Lonchura striata: one gene and its partners. The protein of the gene in region 3 interacts with the protein of the main gene of each other region in a pairwise test. Links are inferred from orthologs where the notes say so. Each region holds a gene or a part of one and is shown on either strand. Other genes may lie near its edges. The genes, in order: SNRPA, NDUFAF4 and NDUFAF3.

The links.
Region 1: the proteins of NDUFAF3 (region 3) and SNRPA interact in binary tests that used the Homo sapiens proteins (3 or more experiments, as listed by UniProt). The two-hybrid records come from large-scale screens. The link is inferred for Lonchura striata from reciprocal best matches to the Homo sapiens genes NDUFAF3 and SNRPA.
Region 2: the proteins of NDUFAF3 (region 3) and NDUFAF4 interact in binary tests that used the Homo sapiens proteins (3 or more experiments, as listed by UniProt). The two-hybrid records come from large-scale screens. The link is inferred for Lonchura striata from reciprocal best matches to the Homo sapiens genes NDUFAF3 and NDUFAF4.

The regions. Positions count from the first base shown.
Region 1 is NC_134637.1:4,272,365-4,279,386, forward strand, and holds the start of SNRPA (U1 small nuclear ribonucleoprotein A), read right to left. Parts: upstream 3,088-7,022; 5' UTR 2,998-3,087; exon of another isoform or gene 2,914-2,997; intron 1,964-2,913; 5' UTR 1,951-1,963; coding exon 1,878-1,950; intron 1,754-1,877; coding exon 1,581-1,753; intron 1-1,580. UniProt on the Homo sapiens protein: Component of the spliceosomal U1 snRNP, which is essential for recognition of the pre-mRNA 5' splice-site and the subsequent assembly of the spliceosome. U1 snRNP is the first snRNP to interact with pre-mRNA.
Region 2 is NC_134605.1:75,117,671-75,125,814, reverse strand, and holds the start of NDUFAF4 (NADH dehydrogenase [ubiquinone] 1 alpha subcomplex assembly factor 4), read right to left. Parts: upstream 3,058-8,144; 5' UTR 3,033-3,057; coding exon 2,906-3,032; intron 2,435-2,905; coding exon 2,337-2,434; intron 184-2,336; coding exon 1-183. UniProt on the Homo sapiens protein: Involved in the assembly of mitochondrial NADH:ubiquinone oxidoreductase complex (complex I). May be involved in cell proliferation and survival of hormone-dependent tumor cells. May be a regulator of breast tumor cell invasion.
Region 3 is NC_134614.1:15,583,215-15,589,891, forward strand, and holds NDUFAF3 (NADH dehydrogenase [ubiquinone] 1 alpha subcomplex assembly factor 3), read right to left. Parts: upstream 1,994-6,677; 5' UTR 1,982-1,993; coding exon 1,932-1,981; intron 1,808-1,931; coding exon 1,615-1,807; intron 1,532-1,614; coding exon 1,465-1,531; intron 1,326-1,464; coding exon 1,225-1,325; intron 1,107-1,224; coding exon 1,014-1,106; 3' UTR 653-1,013; downstream 1-652. Other genes in the region: DALRD3 (DALR anticodon-binding domain-containing protein 3), read left to right, coding at 5,349-5,525, 5,646-5,935, 6,017-6,288, 6,509-6,567, 6,665-6,677. UniProt on the Homo sapiens protein: Essential factor for the assembly of mitochondrial NADH:ubiquinone oxidoreductase complex (complex I).

The DNA of each region.
Region 1 (7,022 bases), on a different chromosome or scaffold from region 3:
TTTGGGGATGGTTCAGGTGGTTTTGGGGTTCTTCCTGAGGATTTTGGGGAGGATCTGGGGAGGATTTGGGGCTTTACAAGGGATTTTGAAGAGAGTTCTAAGGGATATGGAGGAGTTCCAAGAGGGACTTTGGCATTTTCCAAGGGATTTGGGGAAGTTCAAAGAGGGATTTTGTGATTTTCAAGGAACTTTGCGAAGTCCTAGGAAGAATTTTGCATATTTCAGAGGGATAGGGGGAGAATTTAGAGGGGATTCTGGGGAGTTCCAAGAGGGATTTTGGGGCTTTCCAAGGAATTTTCAAGGGTTCTGAGGGATTTGGGAAAGGTTCCAGAAAGGCTTTGGGGATTTTCTGATGGTGTTTGGGGGAGCTCCAAGAGGAATTTGGAGGCATTTCAGGAAGTCCTAGCAAGGATCTAGGAATTTCTAAGAGATTTTGAGGGAATTCAAAGAAATTTAGGGGGGATTTGGGAGTTTCTGAGGGATTTGAGGGAATTCAAGAGAGATTTTGGAGTAGCTCCAAGAGGGATTTGGGGGTTTCCAATGGATTTTTAGGGCTTCCAGGTTGAATTTGAGATTTCACCAGAGGTTCGTCATAGAAGGGAAAGCTTTGGGAATTCCTGGCTGGATTTTAGGGCTTTTCCTGGAATTCTGGGGTTTTTCCTGGGATTTTCTTCTTTGGGGCAGCTCGTGGTTTGATTTTGGTGCATTTCTGGTTGGATTTGGTTTGGTTTTGGGTTTTTTTGGTTTGTTTGTTTGGTTGGTTGGTTTTGTTTGTCTGTTTTTTGTGGGATTTTGGGGATATCTGAGGCTGGATTTTTTTTTTTTTTTTTTTCCACAGAAATTCAGGTTTTTTCCACAAAGTTTGAGGATTTTTCCCATAATTTGAGTATTTTTCACCAGAATTTCTCTCTCATCATAAACTTGTCATGAAACAAGAAGTTCCAGGGGTGTTCCTGGTTGGATTTTGGGGATATCTGAAGCTGAATTTTGGTGTTTTTTTCCCCCAAGAATTCAGGATTTTCCACAAAATGTCAGGATTTTCCCTTGAATTTGGGTCTCACCATGGGCTTCTCATAGAAGAGGAAGCTTTGGGGTGTTCAGGGTGAATTTGGACAATTACAGGTTGGATTCTGGGGATATTTGAGGCCAGATTTTTGCCTTTTTTCCCCAGAATTTCAGAGTTTTTTTCCAGAATTCCAGTTTTTCCTCAAAATGTCAGATTTTTTTCCCCAGGTTTCTGCCCCACTGTAGGCTTGTTATAGACAGGAAGCTTTGATTCTTAGTTTGATTTGAGAGTGTTCCCAGGGGATTTTCTGTAAATTTCCAGTTGGATTTGGGGTTTTTTTTCCAAGGAATTCAGTTTTTTTCCAGAATTCCAGGATTTTTTCCCATATTCCCTGTGTTTTCCCCTAGGATTTCTGTTTCACCATGGATGTGTCATAGACGGGGAAGCTTTGGGGTGGTCAGGGTGAATTTGGAGAGATTACAAATTGGATTTTGGGGATATTTGAGGCCAGATTATGGTGGTTTTTCCAGTCTTTTCCCAAAATTTCAGAATTTTTCCCCAATCTCTGTCTCACCATAGGTTTGTCGTAGAAGGGGAAGCCCTGCATGGAGCGCAGGGCATTGGTGGCGCTGCTCATCTCCTTGAAGATGACGAAGGCCTGGCCCCTCATGCGGAGACTGCGCGACACCAAAATGTCCAAAATCTGCCCAAACTGGGAAAAAATGGCGTAGAGGGACTTCTTCAGCTCTGGGGACAGAGAGAGAGTATAGTGACAATGGGGACAGCATGGTGACAGCAGGGACACCCAGAGGACAGCCTGAGCCCCTGGGGACACCCAGGGACACTCTCAGACCCCCCAGCCCCCCCCCACCGTCCTTCTTGATCTTCTCGTTCAGGTTGTTGATGTAGATGGTGTGGTTGGGCCGGGGATCCTGCACCGCCATGGCTGGGACCTCTCTGTGGGGACAGGGGGGCTTCAGGGGGCGTCTGGGGGCTGCGACCCCTTCACCCCCTGGGACCTCCCTTTTGGTACCCCAAACACCCAAATCCACCCCAGACCCACCTATACCTCCACCTAATCACCCTCAGACCCCCTCCCAAATTGACCCAGACCCACCTGGGACTCCACAAAACCTCCTCAGAGCCACCTAAGACCCCCGCCAAATTGCCCCTAGACCCACCTCAGAACCCCCCATATCCCCCAATTCCCCTCAGACACCCCTAAAACCATCTCAGAACCCTCCAGACCCTCTCAAGCTCCTCCCCAAGCCCCCTCAGACTCCCTCATTCCCCCCAAAGTGACCTCAGATCCCCCTATTTCCTCTCAAAATCCCCCATTTCTCCTCAGACACATCTCAGACCTCCCCAACCAACTTCAGATCCCCCCATTTCCCCCCCGACCCACCTCAGAGCCCCCTTCGCCCTCATTTCCCCCCAAATCCACTTCAGACCCCGCAAAAACTACTCAAACCACTCCAATTCCCCCCAAATCCGCCCCAGACCCACGTCGGACCACTCAATTCCGCTCATATCCACTTCAGAAGCCCCCATTTCCACTCAAATCCCTCTCAGACTCCGCAAAAACCCCTCAAACCCGCTCAATGCTCTCCGAAACTGCCTCGGACTCAATTCCTCTCATACCCACCTCAAACGCCGTCAGTTCCGCTCAAACCCCCCTCAAATCTCCCCAATTCCCTTCCCGTTCGCCCTAGATCCACCTCACACCCCACAAAAGTCCCTCAAACCACCGCAATTCCTCCCAAACCCATTCCCGACACAGCTCAGACACCCCCATTTTTCCTCCAGTTTCCCGCCGGACCAACCTGAGATCCCCCTAATTATCCCCTCAGACCGCGCAAAAAACCCTCAAAGCCGCCCAATATCCCCCAAATGCGTCCCGCACGTACCTCAGAACCCTCACTTCCCCTCAGACCCGCCTCAGCCCCTTCCCATTTCCCTCTAAAGCCACCTCCGACCCCTCCATTCCTCACAGGCCCCCAACTGGCCTCCCTCCTCAGCCGCTCTCCCCGCACGATCTACCGCCGCCGCGTGCGCGGGCCCCCCTCCAGCCAATAGCGGCGTGACCTGCCCCGAACTAACCAATCACCGTGCGGGTTCCCTCAGTTACGCCCGCCTCCCCCGCGCCGCTGCAGCCAATCAGAGGCGAGACGGAAATGGCGTCCCCTGACCCCAGGGCCGGGCATGAGCCCGGTGGCCCCGGGCGCCCCGGGCTCGGGCGGGTCCTGCGGGAGGCGCTGGGAGAGGCCGGAGCTGCGGGAGCTGCGGAGGGGCCGGGACAGGTGGGGGAATGGGGGATGAGGGTCCTAAGAGGGGACCGTGGGGGAGGGGTCTTGGGAAGCGTCTGGGGAGTCTCAGGGGACATCCTGGGCTGGGCCCGATTGGGATCTGGGAGTTCTCAAGGGGGTGCTGGGGGGATCTGGAGCTCCTGGCGGGGTTTTGGGGGTCCAGGGTGATCCTGGGCCAACCTTGAGGGGGGCTCGGGGGGGGTTGGGGTTCCTGGGGAAGATTTGGGGTCCCGGGGAGTCCCAGGCCCAGGCTGAACCGGGGTCTGGGGGTTTCAGGGGGAGGGGGCACAACAGGGGTTCCCCCCGCCCCGTTTTTGGGGGTCTCCCATCATGCTGTCTCCCCAAAAAGTGGTTCCTGAAGCATCCCCCTGAAGTGGCTCCTGTTCCACCAGCCGGTGCCCCCTCATCCAGGACGGCCCCCAGTGAGTCTGGGGGAATTTTGGGGAGAAGTTTGAGAGGGATTTTGGGGAGGCTTTTTTTTGGCTTTTAGGGATTTTGTTGAGAGTTTAGGGGGAATTATTAGGTTTTTGAAGAGAGTTATTGGCTTTTGGGGTGTTACAAGATTTTGGGGGGTTTTGGATTTTGGGGGATTTTATTGGAGTTTTGGCGGGTTTTTGGGGGGGTTTACTGAAATTTTTTGAGTTTTTTTAAATTTTGGTGGGTTTCACTGGGATTCTTTGGAATTTTGGAGGGTTTTATTGGGATTTTTAGGGAATTTTGGGGGTTTTTTAGTGGAATTTTGGGGGGCTTTGGGGTTGTCCCTGGGTGTGGGAAAGGGCTGACAAGCACCAAAATCTCCTTAAAACCCCCAAAAGTCCCAATAAAACCCACAAAATCCCAATTAAATCTCACAAAATCCCATTAGAATACCTTAGAATTTCAAAAAAAGCCCACAAAAATCTATTGAAGTCCCAAAAACCCCTCAATAATTAAACCACACAAATCCGCCCAAAAATGTCTCCAAAACCACAAAAAGTCCCACAAAATCCCCCCATGACCCAAAGAAATTCTGGTACAGGACACCCAAAAACCCCAAAAAAAACCTCCCCAAAATCCCAAGCCCTCAAAGAATCCCACTAAATGCCCCCCAGATTCCAACCAAATTACTCCAAAACCCCTAAAACTCCAAATAAAACTACCAGAAATTCCAGGGAATTGAACAAAATTGCCAAAATTTTTCAAAAAGCCAAAAAATTTCAAGAAACCCTCAAACACCTCCAGAAAAACAACCGTCCCAAAGCACCAATAAAACCCCCCAAAATCTACAAAATCCCCCAAAATTCTGCAACTCCCCCAAAACCCTATCATTTTCGTCAAAAAATGCAATGATTCCCCCTAAACTCCCACCAAATTTCCCCAAAGCCCAGAAAAGCCCAAAGTCCCCAAAGCCCTGATCCCTTCCAGTCTCAGCCCAGTCCCATCCAGGGGCACGGCCAAATGCAGAGGTCCCTGAGCAATCCCGGAGCCGATCCCAGAGCGTGCCCAGTTCCAATCCTGGTGCCAGTCCCAGAGGGATCTCGGAGCTGATACCAGTGTCATCCTCAGTCTTGGCCCATTTGGGAGATTTTAGGCCAATCTGGGCAGATTTAGGGTGGGTTTCAGATCCCTTGCAGTGATTCCAAGCCTTTTAGCTTGGATTTTAGGCCCCTTTGGCTGATTTTAGGCTGAATCTGGTGAGTTTTATGGGGGATTTTAGATCCCTTTGGCTGATTTTAGGCCCATATGGGTGAATCTTAATCCTGTTTGGTTGGTTTTACGTCCCTTGTTTTGGTGATTTTGGGCCCATTTGGGTAGATTTCTGGCTTCTTTGGTTAATTTTAGATCGAACCAAGCATTTTAGGGTGACTTTAGGTCCTCTTGTATTGGTTTCAGGCATGTTTGGATGATTTTAGTAAAAACTAGGTGGATTTTAGGGTGGATTTAGGCACATTTGGGTCATTTTAGGCAGAACCAGGTACTTGCAGTTGAAAAACACCAATCACTTGTTTTTTTGAATCTTATAAAAAATAGTAATAAGATTGGAGTAATAAAAATTTGGACTAGAGTAATTAGTGTAATAAAAATAGGATTAGGACACTATGAGACAATAAAAAGCAAAGAATTGCGGACATCTGCATGCTCTCGGACACTAGGTCACGAAAAGCATGCCTTGCGAACAAAGGAATAACCTTAAAAGCAATAGCCTGTTGCATATTCATATATCTCATACATGATACATAAATTCCTTGCAAATTAAGAATTTTTCTGGTTTTTGTCAACTTCTTCCCCTTAATCCTGGTGGTTCCATAGGGATGGAGCGGAGGTGGAAGAATGTCTTTTCTGATAAGGAAGCCGTAACTCTTTAGGTTTTGTGAGCCGTAACTCCTTAGGTTTTGAGGCCATACAAGTGTTCAGAGTGTGGGAAGGGGTTTCAGATCAGATCACATCTCCTCCTGCACCATCGGTTTCACACAGAGGAGAGGCTCTTTTGCTGTCCAGACTGTGGGAAGGGATCCATGTACAATTTCACCCTCATTAACCACCAGTGGATTCACACAGAGGAGAGGCCCTTCTGCTTCCCCGACTGTGGGAAGGGATTCAAGCACAACTCCACCCTTACCACGCACCAGTGTGCCCATACTGGGGAGAAGCCCTATCAGAGTCCACAATGTGAGAAGAGCTTCTCATAGAACTCAACTTTGACCCAGCACCAACGGAGCCATCGGTGAGGGAGGCTCTGTGAGTGCCCTGACTGAGAGAAGAGCTTTGTGTGCTGCTCCAACTCCATCCCCCATTGAAGGACCCTTGTTGGGAAGAGATCTGGTGACCCACATTCCCTTGTGATCCATATTGGGAAGGCACCTAGCTGGTTGTTCTTTTGTTTTGACCTTCATTTTCTTCTGACTCAACTCCATCAGCCAAAACAGGCCTGAAAAGAAAGAAATTGATCAATGATGTCTGAAGTCCCACCATTTCACAGTTGTTTGAGAGGGAATTTAGGATTTAGAGACATATTCTGGAGGATTTGGGGTTCTGGGAGGGTTTTGGGCAGTGTTCTTCATCTCTTTGCACTGCAGAAACCAAGAGAGATCAGTCTTCACCTCAAAACAACTCAATCCCACTGAAAACAACTGAATTCTAATCCATAAGGGCTCAATCCCCCCTCAAAATGGCTTGTTCCCACCTCAAAAAACTCAGTCCCACTCCAAACTCGATTCCACAACTGCCAGAGTGAGATGGGGTTGGAAGGAGACTGGGAGAAGTGGGATCCAAATTTGGAGCAGTGGATCTGGATTGTGTGGGGCTGAGTGGGTGGGATGTATTTGATAGTAAATAAAACTTTCAGAGTTAGTGATTTCTTTCCCATTCATTTTCAGTCTGTTGCAGTTCTGTTTGCAGAGTGCCACCTTCCCAGCTGATTATGTTTGTGTCCTCCTTTCTCTCCCACCTCTCTTTGCCTGCTCTGTTTCTCTCTCTGTTGGAATCTGAGTTATTGATGATTCTGAGATAGTAGAAAGTCTCTGTCTCTCAGCCCTGCTGCCAAAGAAGAAGCCATAATTGGTCTGTGCTGGTTTCAAGGTTGTTTATTCTGTTTATCTCTAACATGTTCTGCTGCCCTGCCCAGCTCTGTCCTGCAGGGCAGCGTGTGGGGCTCTGCCCTCAGTGGGATGTTACAAACATTAAATACCAGAAACTCCCTGGGCTGGATTTACAATAACATGCCAAAATCT
Region 2 (8,144 bases), on a different chromosome or scaffold from region 3:
TATTTTCTCCGCAGTCCATATTTGAGGTTGAAGTTTATGATTATTAAGAAGTGTCAGAGCCTCCACAAGGGAAATTTTGCCTTTAGGAACTTTCTTAACATCTAGACCTTCCAAGTGGCCTAATTTTGTCAGTCTCTTTTCTTCCTGTTTACTTGGAAGATGTTCACCACCTCCATCTTTTACCTAATCGAGGGAAGGAAAACAAAAAGAGCTCAACAGCAGTTCTGTTTACTATGCATACTGTAGCACCTAAACTGCTTTCGTAAATATTTTTTCTGTTTAGCTTTTCCTGTTAGCTTTCCCTATTTTTTTAAAAACAGATTAGCCTGCCTAGCTTCTTTCACAGCCATTCCACATAGAGTGTCAACTCCCAACTAAATGCTGAAAAGCCTCTCTTCACTGCACTCTAAGCGTTGTATTGGCTTGGCAGCCCTTTATGCAAGGCAGACTACAGATTCTGGTAGGCAAATGTAAATCCAGATAGCCTAATATTCGCTACTGATTCACTGGAAGGGACAAAAAAATCATACAACAAATTGGTATCCTTCTGATACCACTGGAAAACTTTTTCATGTAGTCTCTCTCCCTTTCCTTTTGTTTCCAAATTTTAGTTTTCCTACTAAAAGAAATTCCTTCTTTTGCTCTGTCTAGAGAACAAGCTTTCCTGCTATTTTGCAGCATCATATGGAATTTAATTGCCATGACTACTGCAACATGTAGACACACAAACTGTCTTCTCTAAGGTTCCTTCATATTTCCAAATAATCTCCAAAACAGCTTTCACTTCCTCATATTTCCTTTAAGTAACATTTAATCAGTGAATCACACTGAAAAAAAAAGGCACAATTAAACCTTTCTTAAACTTAGAAGTATTTATATAGTAATCAGAGCCCACAGCCACTAATTATTACACAGACACTCCGTATTAACTCAGTTGCTGAGAAGACTGATGTGGATATTACAGCACCTGTGTGTGTCTGTTTCTGAGCTACAAGGAATGTCTGGCCTGCACTCCATGTCTTCTACTTTTTGCTAAAACTGTGCTTGGATAATGAATGATTTTTCAACTCTAAATAAGATCATCTGTCTCTGGGAATCTGCCACTTCAGGGCTCCCAAGCTGGTGTTTTTCCACTTACCATAGGCAGACACCCCAAACACACACAGAGGTGTGTACACATCACGTACACAATGCACAAAGTCATCAGGATAACATCAGGAATGGGAGAAAGCTTTTGTATTGCTTTGTCCACAAGTCTCTGTGATTACACTTCAGTTGTGCTCTAAAAACTGCAAGCAGACACAGCACAATGGCAAGTCTGTGGCAGTAAACTCCGAGAAGGCATAGAATCAAGCAAAGATTTGCTCCACTTTGGGCTTTTTCTCAAATCTCTCTTGACAGGCTTATACATGAATATTGAAAGATACTGAAATTAGAACTTCAGCACTTCAAGATTAGAGTCCTAACCTCTGTGATGGAAATTAAGGATAGAGATTTCTTGAAAATTTCAGGAAGAGACTGAGAAAATCTATTTGCATTTTAAATATTTTTGGACTTGAATACCATATAAGTGGCAAATTAGAGAGACTTAGGAATTTTGCTAGATGACCATAAAAATTTTACTGCTGAATAAATCAGCTGGAATAAAGTGGTCCAATAATGAAACAGTTAAAATACACAAACCATAGCAAAATATGATGGAAAAGAGGACACTGAGCCCCAGTCTGCATTTTATGAAGGAATATGCTTTAGCTTTCAAGTAAAAGTAAAAGATTGCAGCCAGTGGCAATAAGGAAATGATGACCACACAACCCACAAGATATTGTAGGAAAAAAACCTAAGGCACTTCATGAATTGGATAAAAAAAAAAGTCTCTGCACTGTACAATATTTAAAGGAGTTAAAGACTCCATTAAAGCGTAAACATCTTTGTCCTCTACCACATCCCTGCTCCCTAGCAGTCCCAGTCTCTTCTAACTCCACAAATGATTTCTGGCAAACTACTTTATCTTTGCAAAAGGCTTGAGATGTATCTTGCCTCATAGGAAGCAGAAAAAGGAATTTAGGTGAAGAACAGTAAGATCAACGCAATACTAAAAAAGAAGACTGTGTCTGCATTTACAAGCTTGTATAATTACAATCTGTCACACATTCAAAACCCAGGGTCAGACACACTCAATGTTACTGATGTATAGAAGAGTAATAAAAATACCACTTTTATCTATTGAAAAAAGATAACTTTTATGCACAGAGAGCATTTTTCTTGACACAGCCTTTGTGCTGAGTTTGAAGACCACAAAGCTGATGTTGGTATGGGTCGTAGAGAGATGCACTCACCTGCACCGGTGGATCTCTGGACTCGACATAAACATCTTTGAGCAAGGTGAGGAACCTATCGTCCTTTCTGAGAACTTCTTCTTTTATCTCTGGGCTATCTAAAGGCAGTGAGAAGAAGGGAAGGGAAGGAAAAAAAGAAGAAACGATTGATCTGAGTGAAAGAGTCTCCTTTTTGTTAGTTCTGCCAGCTCATCGCTTCCCCAGCGGCACGGCACGGCTCCCGCAAACGCACCTGCCTTCTTGGGAGGGTGCCATTGCTCCCACAGCCCTGACCTTAGCGACTCGGCTTCGCACGGTCCGGCTGGGCCGGTCACCGGTCACAGCACGGCGGGACACGGCACCCACACGCTCGGTACCGCCATCCCACCGCCCCACCACTTCCCCCGGGTCCCGTCCCCTCAACCACCTCCACCGAGCGGCCCCCGCTGCCGTCCCCCAGCGCTCCCGGGCGCTCCCTCAGCCCCTCACGCTGCTGCCGCCGTCCCCGCCCCGCTCCCGGCATGCCCCGCGCGCCCGCGCCGCTCTCAATGTCAGCGCCGCCGCACCGGGCGGGCGCCGCCGGCACTCACCGGCCGTGGCGTCCAGCCGGGCGGTGCGGTGCCGCGGCGCTGCCGTGGGCTTCTCCTTGCTGATCTCGCGGCGGGCCCGGTTCTCCACGTTGAAATTCCGGAACACGCGGGTCACCCGCCCGCCCATCGCCGCCGCCAGCCGCGCCTGCGCGCGGGGCACGCCGGGCAGGGGCGGTGTGCACCGGAAGGGAATGAACCGAGTGCTGCGGGCACACGAACAGACAAGCGAGCAGACAAGCGAGCAGACAGACAGACGAGCGAACAGACAAGCGAGCGAACAGACAAGCGGCGGCGGTCCTGCCGTGCCTTTCCTAAAGGCGGGCGTGAGCCGAGCCCGGCCCGGGCGGCTCCCGCCGGGAATGCTCGCGAAGTGCGAGCTGTGGCTGCCGCACGCTTTCCTTTGCAGGCGGAGCCCCCGGACACGCCATGGCGTGACTGTGGCTGTTTGTATATCGGCGGCGATAGGCACGGGTCGGAGCGGCAGCGAGGGACAATTCCCCAGTAGTGTTGGGAATTTGTGGGCTACACAACGCTTTCAGGGTGCAGACCCTCTTTTTGCAGCTCGACCAAATAAACTTTCTTCTGACTTTGCAAAAATTGTGAAAACTAATTGTGACAAAATGTTGAGAAGGCCTTAAGCCGTGTATGTTAAGAAAGGTAAATTTGTCGACAGAATCAAAATTGTTGAGATGGGAGTCATTTCATAGATTCAAGAAGTGTGTGAAAATATACAGAATCCTTAGAGAAAGGGAGGCAGAAAGAGTAAGAGCTACTGGCCTGATTCAAGAAGCAGTAAAGCCTGAGGGTTGACTACTTTATTCAGCCACGACTGATAAGGTGTCTTACCAAGAGAGATTAATGACTTGTTTGTTCCAGCTGCTGTGTGAATTAGCCAACAAATAATTCCCTTATGGCTTTAAATTTTGTATGTGCTGTTTGCAGAGTCTTAGTGCCTTCTGGGCCACCAATTAGTTCATGATAGTAGTTGCCTGAATGAAGTGACTTGAAGTGGGACTTTCAATGAATTTAATGAAGAACACTGAAAAGACCAGCATTCTTGTAGTTTTTGGGGGTTTCTTTTTGTGTGTGGTTTTTTTTTTTTTTGGTGGATGTTTTGTTTGTTTGTTTTTTGGTGGGAAACACCTTTTTTTCTGCCCTTGCATCTACCTCATCTACCTAGTGTTTCTTATTATTGTGGGCATATAAAACCTGGGGTTCAGAACTTGGTCTTCTATTAATAGCATTGTTTAGTAATAATAATTATGATGTGATAGTTTCAAGGCTGCAGTGTGCTTTAATGCTGGATTAATGAATGGCTGTGTTTTCCTTAGAGAGAAGCCAAATTGATTTAGAAAGGCAGTGGAAACAAGGCAGGATAAACATGGTGGTGTATGCTGGATATCTGCTCTCTTTGGGAATCAGGAAGATGCAGTTTCTCCATTTGTTTATTTTAAAGATTCTCACAGTCTGTAGGAGAACAGAAACATGTTTTTGTTCTCTGGTAATAAGCTTACTGACCTTGTCTTATTTTTGATATTGCATGTGAATGAATTAAGGAGACTAGTGATACAGTGATAATTGGAAACTTAAAATCTGCTGAAGTCAGGTGACAAGTTTAATTAAATATCTGTAGTCAATTACTTGCTGACTAAACCTGTGTTCTTAAGTCCAGGATTTGATACTTTTGTGAGTGGTGAATCTGTGTGGTGTGGCTGTAATGCAAAAATCCCCGTGGATGCCTTTGGTAGTTGTAGACCTTTCACAGGTACTTTAGCATTTGTATTCTTACTGATCCATCTGTGGATCAGCTATTGTGGCAAATTTGAAACAAAGTTTCTCCTCCAAAAGCTAAGAACTCCCAGCTTGTAGAACCAAACAGAGCACAGGGCTTCTGTCTTGATAAAGCATGAATGTGATTAACACTGCTGTAATATGTACTGGCAGCAAAATAAATTCACCAGAAAGCAGTCAGTTAAAAATAAAGAGTGATGTCATGCTCTGCCTGTCACTTCCTACGACTGAGGATAGCACAAAGCTGTTCTTTTCATGTATAAAGATGCATCAAAAGTTCAAGATTTTTATTCTGAAGAATGTTTCTTAGACTGTAGCAAGCAGAAGAATAGAGATTGAAAACAATATTTTTAATATAATTTGGTATTTTACCAATGTGACTATATTGATATTAAATATCAGTAATCAAGAGGTTGGATAGTTTTCCATATAAAGCATATAGATATCTGCAAGTGTGATTATTAAAAAATGAATGTATGTGTATTCATCTTAGACAGAGTTTCAAATGGGATGCATTTTTCTTGAACAAGGAGTCTGAGTCTTTCCAGGGAATTCAAAAATAACAAAACAGCCCATGAGAAGACTATCCAGCTGGATTCATACACACGTATTCTCAAAAAGTTTTCGTAGCAGCCTGTTCTGAACACCGGACAGCACATCAGAGAAAAATACTGTAACTCTCATGATATATGTGTGCCATAGGCTGCCACACTAGATCTCCTTGTAATCCTTCCATACCTCTTAAGAGAGAAATTTCTAAAGCTACTGGGTGCCTGGAAAGTAAGAAGTACATTTGTGACTGTTCTTTGAATCTATTTGTTTTCCATCTCAATTTTGATTATGTGTTGTGTGTACTGTTTCTTTCTCAGCTAGTTCTATCACTGAGTGGAAAATGAAAAATTAATTTTTGTATTTAACTAGCATCAAAAGTCTGATTGACCTATTGAAAATTTGCTTTAGAGAAGGGAGAATAGCCTGTCATTAACTTGTGTTACTGTGTGGGTGGGTACTACTAAAGTTTCTTTGCTGTCTTTACTACTCAAAAGATCAGGAATCAGAATATGAGTCCAGATGGGCAGGTAATTTCAGTGAAATAAGAGCCATTTTTTGGTAATAGTTGCTCAGCTGGAGAATTTTGGAGAGGAGGCAGGTGAGGTTTGCTTTGTGATTTGAGGTCTGGGAATGGCACAGCAGTCAACCACAGAGGAAAATGAGGAATGCTTTTATACAGCAGCATTAGAGGTTTGTATTTGATTCTGTCCACATTTTCTACCACTGAAACTGTTTTCCTATTCTCATCTTTCTGTTGTTGTTTGTTCATAATTGATGTCAGTCTAAATGGATACTTGAGCAAATTCTTATATCATTAGGATTCAGGGAACTGAGTCCTCTATCCAGATTACTGGTTTACCAGTAAGCACAATGAGAGCATTGATCCTTTTATTCCTTACCTCATCAGTGTTAGGCAGAACCAGAGAACACAGCATTAGCAAGAATTGATTATGAGCCAAGTAAAAATGACTGTCCTGCAACCTTGTAAAGATGAACTCAAGAGAGATGGACTTACTGATGGATCACTTTCACCTTTCAGTGATTTTTGGTTGTTCTGTTACTTAATTCAGATTATTTCTCTATTATTGGTTTCAACTGATCCATCTTTTACTGGCCTCTGAAGTATCTACAGAAGGATCTACGTTGAAGGATTTTGCTTAATTCCAGTCTGTGATCAATGTTCCCGAACACTTGCATATTTTCAAGGCTAGGTGGCTGCAGTGCTTTATTTAAAGGAGTTTTTGTCAAGTCCTTATGTGGATGAAGTTTATAGCAAGTGCAGCAAGCTCAGTGTTACAGACTCACACACCAGCCCAGACAGATCACCAGCTCCTTGTCAGATAATACTAATTTCAAAGACATGGCATTTAAATTTTCCTGATGGACTGTGGCTTGATACCTGACATAATCTTCCATATTTTTCCTGTATGTTGTTTCTCAATTAGCAGGTTACTTTGACTTGGAAATGCACAGTAGGAGACAGCATATTTGAGAATGAGGCAGCCTGATACTGGAATTAATTAATTTCATCAGTTACACATGCCTTTTTACTGAATTTTTACTCACAGGTTTCAGCACCCCATGTTCTCTTCTCAGTTGCAATATTAGTTGAGACAACTGACAGCCCTATTATTTCTCGTAACTCTGGTTTCAGTTCATCCTTCTTGCCAGTGTCAGGATGTAGGAACATCCCCAGAGCAAACAGCATCACACAGATGGTCTGATTTAAGAAAGAGAAGAGCTCTCCTAACTCTTCTAAGCTCTATCAATCACCGATGGTTTGGCTGGTCCACAGAAAGCTACTGGAAACACAGGAGGAAAAAAAAAGGCATGTGACAGGAGGAGTGAATAATGTGAACTGATACTGCTGCCAGGTTGGTTGGTTTGTGAGAGTTAGCACTTTGTTCCCAGATTGTTTCTCTGCAGCAGTGGCAGAAAGAACTGTGCCAGCTCCAGTGAGTAGGAGGAGGTGAACCAGCAATGGGAAGAGGCTGGATGGAGTGGAGAGGTGACTGGCTCATCTTGGGCTGGCTTTGGGGTAGCTTTGCTGGTGCTCCAACATCACCCAAGACAAACAACATCCTTTGTACTGACTTGAGGCAGTAACAGTAGCCATGATTTTAGTTCACTGCCACTGCAGTAGCTCTCTGATAGTCAGGAATAGAGTTGGTGAATGGATTCAGAATATTAGCTATCTGCTGGGGTTTCTTTTATGAAATATAACACATGAAAAATAATAAATATATAACCTAAGTGTGCTGGCAAGAGGCTCTTCTACAATAATGTAATATCTTTCCATCCCCAAATGATATTTTAATCTCTCTCTATGGTTTTAATTTATGATGACACATACATATTTATACCAGTGTGATGCATTTTTGTATACATAACTTTATAATTTAGTTGTATTATCTGGGACTTGATGTATCAAGGGATTGATTTTCCATGGTTTTGTACGTAGTTGGAGAACCAGTTTTATTTATTAATTTTACACTTTGATTGCATTCTTCTGCAATTTACAAATAGGGTATTTGCAGGTGTGAATTACATAAAAAAAATGAAGTATTTTGTTTACCTATGGGGGGCCAAATTTTGTGTAGAATAGGAAAGCCAAAATGACCTCAGTGAACACTTCTAAAACCATTTTATATATATCTCAGTCCTAAAGAAGGCTTATATATAGATCTTAAGAAGCTGGAGAAGTTACAGTGTGCTTTAATAGCTCAGTGGCTTAATCAGTGTTATGCTGGGTAAGTAGCATTTGAGTCCATGTCCTATACCTGTGTTTTTAGATGCAGTAGCTAAAAATCTGCCTGACACATGCAAAGGATTCTTTACAAATATTCAAGGAATTCCATACCGAGATTACATATCTTTCTTGGCAGCTTCCACAAGC
Region 3 (6,677 bases):
TGGCTTGGCAAATTTATCTGTGCTTGCAGTGCCAGGAGCCAAGAAGTATTTCACACCTGTATCAGTTGTACGTGTCCCACACATTACTCCTGCTGAAGAGTGTGTGTTTACCATCAGTGGTTTGAGGATGTCAAATTTGATTTATACACTAAAACCAGAGCCTGACTATAATGTCATGGTATTGATACCACACACTCATGAAGAACCTTGCTAAGCAAAGCCACCCTAACCTTTCAGCTGCATCCCCTGCCTTAGTCTGCCAAAGTGGCAGAGTTCAGGCCATGAAGCTGCCATTAGGTACATGTACTCTCTTCCCCAGGGATGACATCCCCAATTATGAATCATCCAGTTCAGGACAGGGACCCTTTCCAAGTCCCCTGCTGGAGTCTGAGCCTTCAGTGAAAGGGGGTGCAGCACCCTTGGACCAACACTGCCCAAGGGATATCTGTGCTGGGGCAGTACAAAGCTCCACTGGAGAGCCCAAGCCGGGCCAGCACCAGCTGGGACACACTAGTTGCTGGTGCTGGCTGTGCTCAGGAAGCTGCTGGCACATGGCATCCCACCACCACACGTGCTGCCCAGTGCCCAAGGTGAGCACATGTCCCATCAATTTGTTACAGCCTCAATGTGCAGTGCATTAACCACCACACAATTTCTTGGACTTCCCATTTACATGTATTTTCCTCCAGATGTGCGTGGGGATGTACAGCTCACCCCACCAGCCTTCACCCTCCCTCAGGTGAGGATTCTTGCCAAGGTGTGGGGCATGACCTTGGCAGGGCTGTGGGACCAGTGCTGCCAGCAAAGCCTTGTGCTGTGCCGCACCGTCTGCAACCCAGACCGGGCAGGGAGGCCAAGAAGCCAGGGACTGCAGGAGAGAGCTAGGCCCGTGTATTTCACAGCCCTCCTGTGTGCAGAGCCATCGGTTCACTACGGAGCGTTTCTCAGTGACCCTCGCGGGCTTCAGGCAGGCAGGGAAGAACCACTCAGCCCATGGGCATGGCCGGCAGTGCCTACACTCCGTAGGTGCCCCGCGGGGGGATGAGCCCAGCAGCCACCACACGCCTTTCATTCATTAGGAAGTTGAAGGTTGCACATGCATTCGCCTGTGAATAGAAAAGGGAGTGAGTGAAGCTCCGGCCCTCAGAAAGGAGACTCGGCCCTTCCCCACACGGCACATGACCCCCTCCCTTTCAATGGGGTGCTGCCTGGGCTCACCCTTACCGTGTCCTGCACCTCCACAGCAATCCCGCACTCCCGCATCTGCTTCAGCGTGGCGGGGTGGAGCCGCTCCACCCTGTCCCCTGTGCCCAGCACCAGGATCTCTGCAACCAGGGCAAGAGAAGGGTGGGCAGGGCAGCACCGGAGCTGCCTCGGCCCAGACCTGGCCCTGCCGCAGGTACCGAGGCTCCCGCACGGCCACCTCGACAGGAGCCCGAAGGGGGCAGCCCGCGCCCCGCGTACCTATCCGGGGCTCCAGCAGCCGGAACAGCGACAGACTCTCGAGCGAGATGTCCCGGTGGGAGCCAACCTGCGGGGACACGGCGGGCGCTCAGGGGCGCTGCCCCGGCGCTCGGGGCGACCGGCAGCGCCCGCCCCCCGCCCGGCACTCACGTTCCACTGGAGGATGCTGCGGGGCAGGACGGCGCAGGGCCCCACCACCAAGTCTCCGCTGATGGTGAAGCCGCGGGTGCTGTAGCTCTCGATGAACATGATGTTGGGGGACTCCGGCTCCAGCACCATCACCCGCGTCCGCTGGTATAGCTCATCATCCGCCGGAGTGAGTCGGTGACCCCGGCACGGCGCTCTGCGGGGAGAGTGAGCAGCTGGGACACGTGAGATCCACGGACACCTCCCGAACACCCTACGGCATCTACAGGCGCTCCCCGCGGTCGCAGGGCAGCCCGGTGCCGGTCGCACGGTGCCGGTACCTGGCCGCCGCCCGCCCGACCGCCGGCACGAGCCGCCGCAGCGCCGCCATGGCCGCGACACCGCCGGAACCGCCGCGCGGCCCCGCCCCCGCCGCTACCGCCCCCCGGCGGCCGGGGTCGGGACAGCGCCACCGGGGGAGCGGGACCGGACCGGGGCTCCCGGGGAGCCCTCGGGGTGCCCCGCCCGGGGTCCTGAGGGACGGGAGGGCAGCGACACTCACACACCCGCTGCCTCCGCGCCCGGGCGCCTCCGACCCGCAGAGCCCAGGTGGGCGCCGGAGCGAAACTGAAAGCGGCCGGTGGCAGGGCGGGAGCGGCACGGCGGGAGCGGGGTGTCCCGCTGGAGCCTCCCCGACTCCGCCGCCCCGACCCCGCCGCCGGGAGGGGCTGTGGACCGGCCCGGGCTGCTATGCCGAAGGCTGCGGGGCCGGAGGTGAGAGGGGAGCGGGCGGCTCCCCGGGAGGGAGGGAGCGGGCCCGGGTCTCGGCTGCGCTCCTGGCCCGGCCCCGCCGGTGCCCCAGGGCTGCCCAGGCTCGGCACGGCGCCCCGGGTCCCCGTGTGCCCCACTGCGGGCGGCTGTTGCCAGTCGGGGCTGGACCCCCGGAGCCACCGCCGGAACCTCCAGCTGCACCCTCAGCCCTCCTCCTGCCGCGCCCGGTGAGGCCGGCAGCACCGCGGGCTCAGAGCGCCGTGGGACAGGGACCCGCGCCCCCACCCGTGTCACCCACCCGGGGCCAGCCGTAGCCTGACGTTCGGGGGCCACCAGGAAGCTCCCCAGCAGTGGCGGCAGAGCATTTCCCGCCACCGTGCCGTGCTGGAGGCATCAGGAATTCCCACAGCCGGCAGCCTTGGCCGGCGCAGGGTCCCAGGGATCCCCGGGCAACAGCGCGGAGCTCCCCGTGGGGCCGGTGGGGTTCCCCACGCGGTTTGAATTCCCCCGTGGTGTTGCCGAGGGCTCCTCGCCGGCGGCGGCGGGGCCGGACCGGGCCGTGCCGCCTCTGGGCGCAGGTGCCGGGGCAGGTGCCCTCCCTCGGGGCCGGCTCGTGTTTCCGGGCTCCGTCGGGGGCCGATGGGCTGGCACCAGTTGCTCCAGCCCCACCGGGGCTTTGTTCGGAGCCGTTTCCTTTTGGCTCGGCTGTGCCGCCCTCCCATTGGCACCCGGCCCGCGGCGCGGGGGGAGCCGGCAGCACAACCCCGGTCTCTGCCGGCACCCCCGATCACAACGGCCCGGCAGTGGCTCCCACGCATCTCCTCCGCCCCGCTCCCCGCCGGTAAGTCGCCCTCTCCCCTCTTGGCCCACCGACTGCCTCAGGGTCGGGGTGGCATGGCCGTGGTGCCTGTGCCCATCGCTCCGCGGCGCCAGCGCGGGCAACGGAATCCCAAAAGCAGCTGTCCCCGCTGTGCCCAGCTGCGCTGGGGTTTCGTTACCCGCGCTCCCGCCACCGCCTCGCCCCGCACCGAGCCTCGTGTCCCACTGCAACCCCTCCCGGGGCTGGGGCAGCGCCTGGGGCCACACTGGAAGAAGGGTGGTGTCAGGATGGAGGATCACCGGTGTCCAGCCTCGTGGCTCAGCTCCTGCACCGAGCTAGGAGGCTCTTCTTTCATATGCCCCAAACAGCTAAAAATAGGATCTGGCTTCCTGGGAGAGTACGGGGAGCATGGCTCCCTGGCCACAGGGTGGATGTGGTCCCCTGCACCACGGTGGTGCAGGCTATGTGGTACTGCCAAACTTCCTGCCCATGCCGGCCCTCGCAGCACCCCAGTGCCTGCAGGGGTGGGCAGGATCCAGCCCCTGGAGAGAGATGGCTTTGGAATGACACGATCACTCCCGCTGAGCCAGCAGCCAGAGAGCCATCGGGGATGTCGTGTCTTTCCAAAGCTCTTTCGGCGCCTCCGAGAGCCCTCCCCAGGCCACTGCGCTGCCAGGGCCCACGTGGGCAGCCTGCAGGGACGTGGACGGATCCAGCCTGGACCCACCTTGAGTAGTGACAAAAGGTGCAGCAAGTCCCTCTGGCCAGGCAGGGGTTCTGGGCAGCTCCTGCCCTGCGGACAGTCAGCAGTTGGTCTGGTGTGAGCAGCAATTCTCAGATCACCTCTTGGCTGTGGGTGGTGCAGGGAGCACCCCACCAAGGCACGGCTAGGGGACATGTTCTCACTCCAGCCCTGGGGCTGCAGATTCTCACTGCCTGTGGGCTGCAGCCCTGGGGCTCCACAGCTGCCTGAGGAGCCCCAAAGTCAGTTGTTGCATTCCTGGAAGAGCCCATGCAGCAGGATCTGCCCTCGCCTTGCTCCCCCCCCTTTTCCCCCATGCACACAAGCCCTGGAGGAACCGGTTTGGGCCCTGCGGGCAGAGCTCCTTCCTTTCCCCCCACCCCCCCCATCTGCCTTAACGGGGAGGGCAGGAAGGGCACGGTAGAAAGGGACGTCCCTAGCTCTGTGTTGTGGTGGGGTTTGGTGCTTCCTGCTCCCTGTCAATCAGGCTTGGTGCCCTGGGGCTGGGGGTGTGCTGGGCCCTTGCCCTGTCCCCAGTTCAGCAGCCACTTGTCAGGGAGCTGGCCAGCAGTGTGAGCTTTCTGTCAGATCCGTGCTCGAACCGTTGCTGTGGAGCAGCTCAGCTCTGCAGATGTAATCAAGACCACGATGGCGTGATCTAATCGCTTCCACTTCCTTCTTCCTGGGGCTGATAAGCGGGACACTGCTCATGTGCTGGACAGGAGAGCAGCCCACTGGGACAGGCATGGAGAACATTGCAGGGTGTGCACCTGCAGCTGCTCATCGCTGTGCCATGCCAGGCACATGGCTGCTGCTGCGGTTCCTCAGCCATTGTGTCAGAGTCCAGCCAAGCCCTGGGGCTCATGGTGGACAGGCTGGACTGGCCAGCCAGGGTCTGCCAAGTGACACCATGCCCACAGCTGTGGCCTGCCTCACACACTCCAGCCCATCCAAAGCTCCCTTCCCACCACAGTTCAGGGTGGTGGGCCATGCCCACGGCTGCGCTGCACTCCCTGCCCCGGGCAGCCGGTTCTGCCCAGCCCTCTCTGACCCCGGCACGGCCTCTGGCTCCTGCTCTGCTCCTGAGGGTTTTAGGTCTGGGCTCCCCAGTTTTGGAGAAGCGGGGATTCCACTCCTGCACACCTGAGGATGACACCATGGCCCCGCTGGGCGAGGCTGAGCGGACTGACACCCTCTGGGGCCATTCGGGGTGCCTGGTTGCAGCCCTATGGTGCTGCCCTGACACACCCGCCATGGCGGCGCCGCTGCCCGCCACACCCACCATGGTGGCTCCGCGCCGGCCCCCAAGATGGCCGCCCTGCCCGGCCGCGCGCCCGTGACCAAGATGGCCGCCCGGGAGCGCCGCGCGCCGCACGCGACATGGCGGCCTCCTGGGCGAGGCGTGACGTCACCTCCGGTGCCGCCATGGGCGAGGAGATGGCCGAGAACCGCCCGGGGGTGGCGGCGACGCTGCGGGCGCTGAACGGGGCCCTGGGGCGGCCCGCCGCGCTCTGGGTGAAGGAGAGCGGCGCCCGCAACCTGCGCCACCGGGATTTCCTGGCGCCGCGGGCCGCGCTGAGCGCCGCCTTTCCCGGCGGGCAGGTAGGCCGGGGCGGCGCGGGCAGGGCTGGCTCGGGAGCGGGGATTTGCGGGAGCTGTTGGGTGAGGCCGGGGGCGCCGCTGCCCTGTGCCCGTGCAGCCCGGACTCCTCTCCGCCCGCAGGTGCCCCCCGAGGCCGTGTCGGCGGTGCCGTCGCTGCGGGGCCCGGCGGTGCTGCCGCTGCGGGTGTGCCGGCAGACGCCGGCGGGGCTGGCGGTGCAGGTGCGGCGCCCCGAGGCCTTCCGGCGCCTGCTGGGGCCGCTGCCCGGCCCGGCGCCTCCCGCGGCGGGGGCGCGGGCGGGCTGCGTGGTGCTGCACTGCCCGGCCCTGCGCGGCCCCGCCGCCCCGCGGCCCCGCCACCTGCGCTCCGTCCTGCTGGCCGACCACCTGGCCCAGCTGCTGCGCGCCCAGGGGTGAGTGCCTTTATCCCGTCCTTCCCGGCCCCTCGCCGCGGGGCCCGCCGCTCCCAGCGCCTGCCTCGCCCTCTGTCGCAGGGTCCACGTCCGCCTGGTCCCTGCGCTCAGCGAGGAGAGGAGCTGGAACGTCCTGCGGCAGCTCCGCGTCTCCTGGCCCTCCGGCTCCGCTGGCTCGTCCCTCACTGATGCCGTCTCGGCCTTGAAGGCGGTGCTGGGCCGGTGCCCCTGTGCCGCAGCCTGTGAGCAGGGGCCGGGCACAGCCGAGGGTGTCATCTTTAAGGTGCACCTGAAGAGCTTCGTGGAGCAGCAGGGCTTGTTGGGCTACGACCCCAATCTAGATGTGCTTCTCGGTGAGCTTCGCATGTACAACAGCTCGGGTGTGGCAGCGGGGCTAGAATGGGTGCAAATAGGCCTGTTTCCTTTCAAGTGTTTTTAACAAAAATGAGGTGGGGTGGTGGATACAAATGGCTTTCACTTCCTGTTCCCCTTCAGTCTGGTTTGAGCCTGGGGCAGACCCAGTGGTGGAGGTGGAGAACTCCATGTCCCATTTTGTGTCCCTCCTTCTTTTAGTGACAGAGAGGACACTGCGGGCCTTGGCTGAGCTGCAGGAAGCTGTTCTGCAGTGCCCAGTGAGTGACCCCACAGTACTGCTTGCCTCTTGCTTCCCAAGTGTCCTTCCTTTCTGCCAGGCAATAGGTTTGAGCTCCCTGTTGTGCTCTGCTGCAGGCCAAAGGCCAGA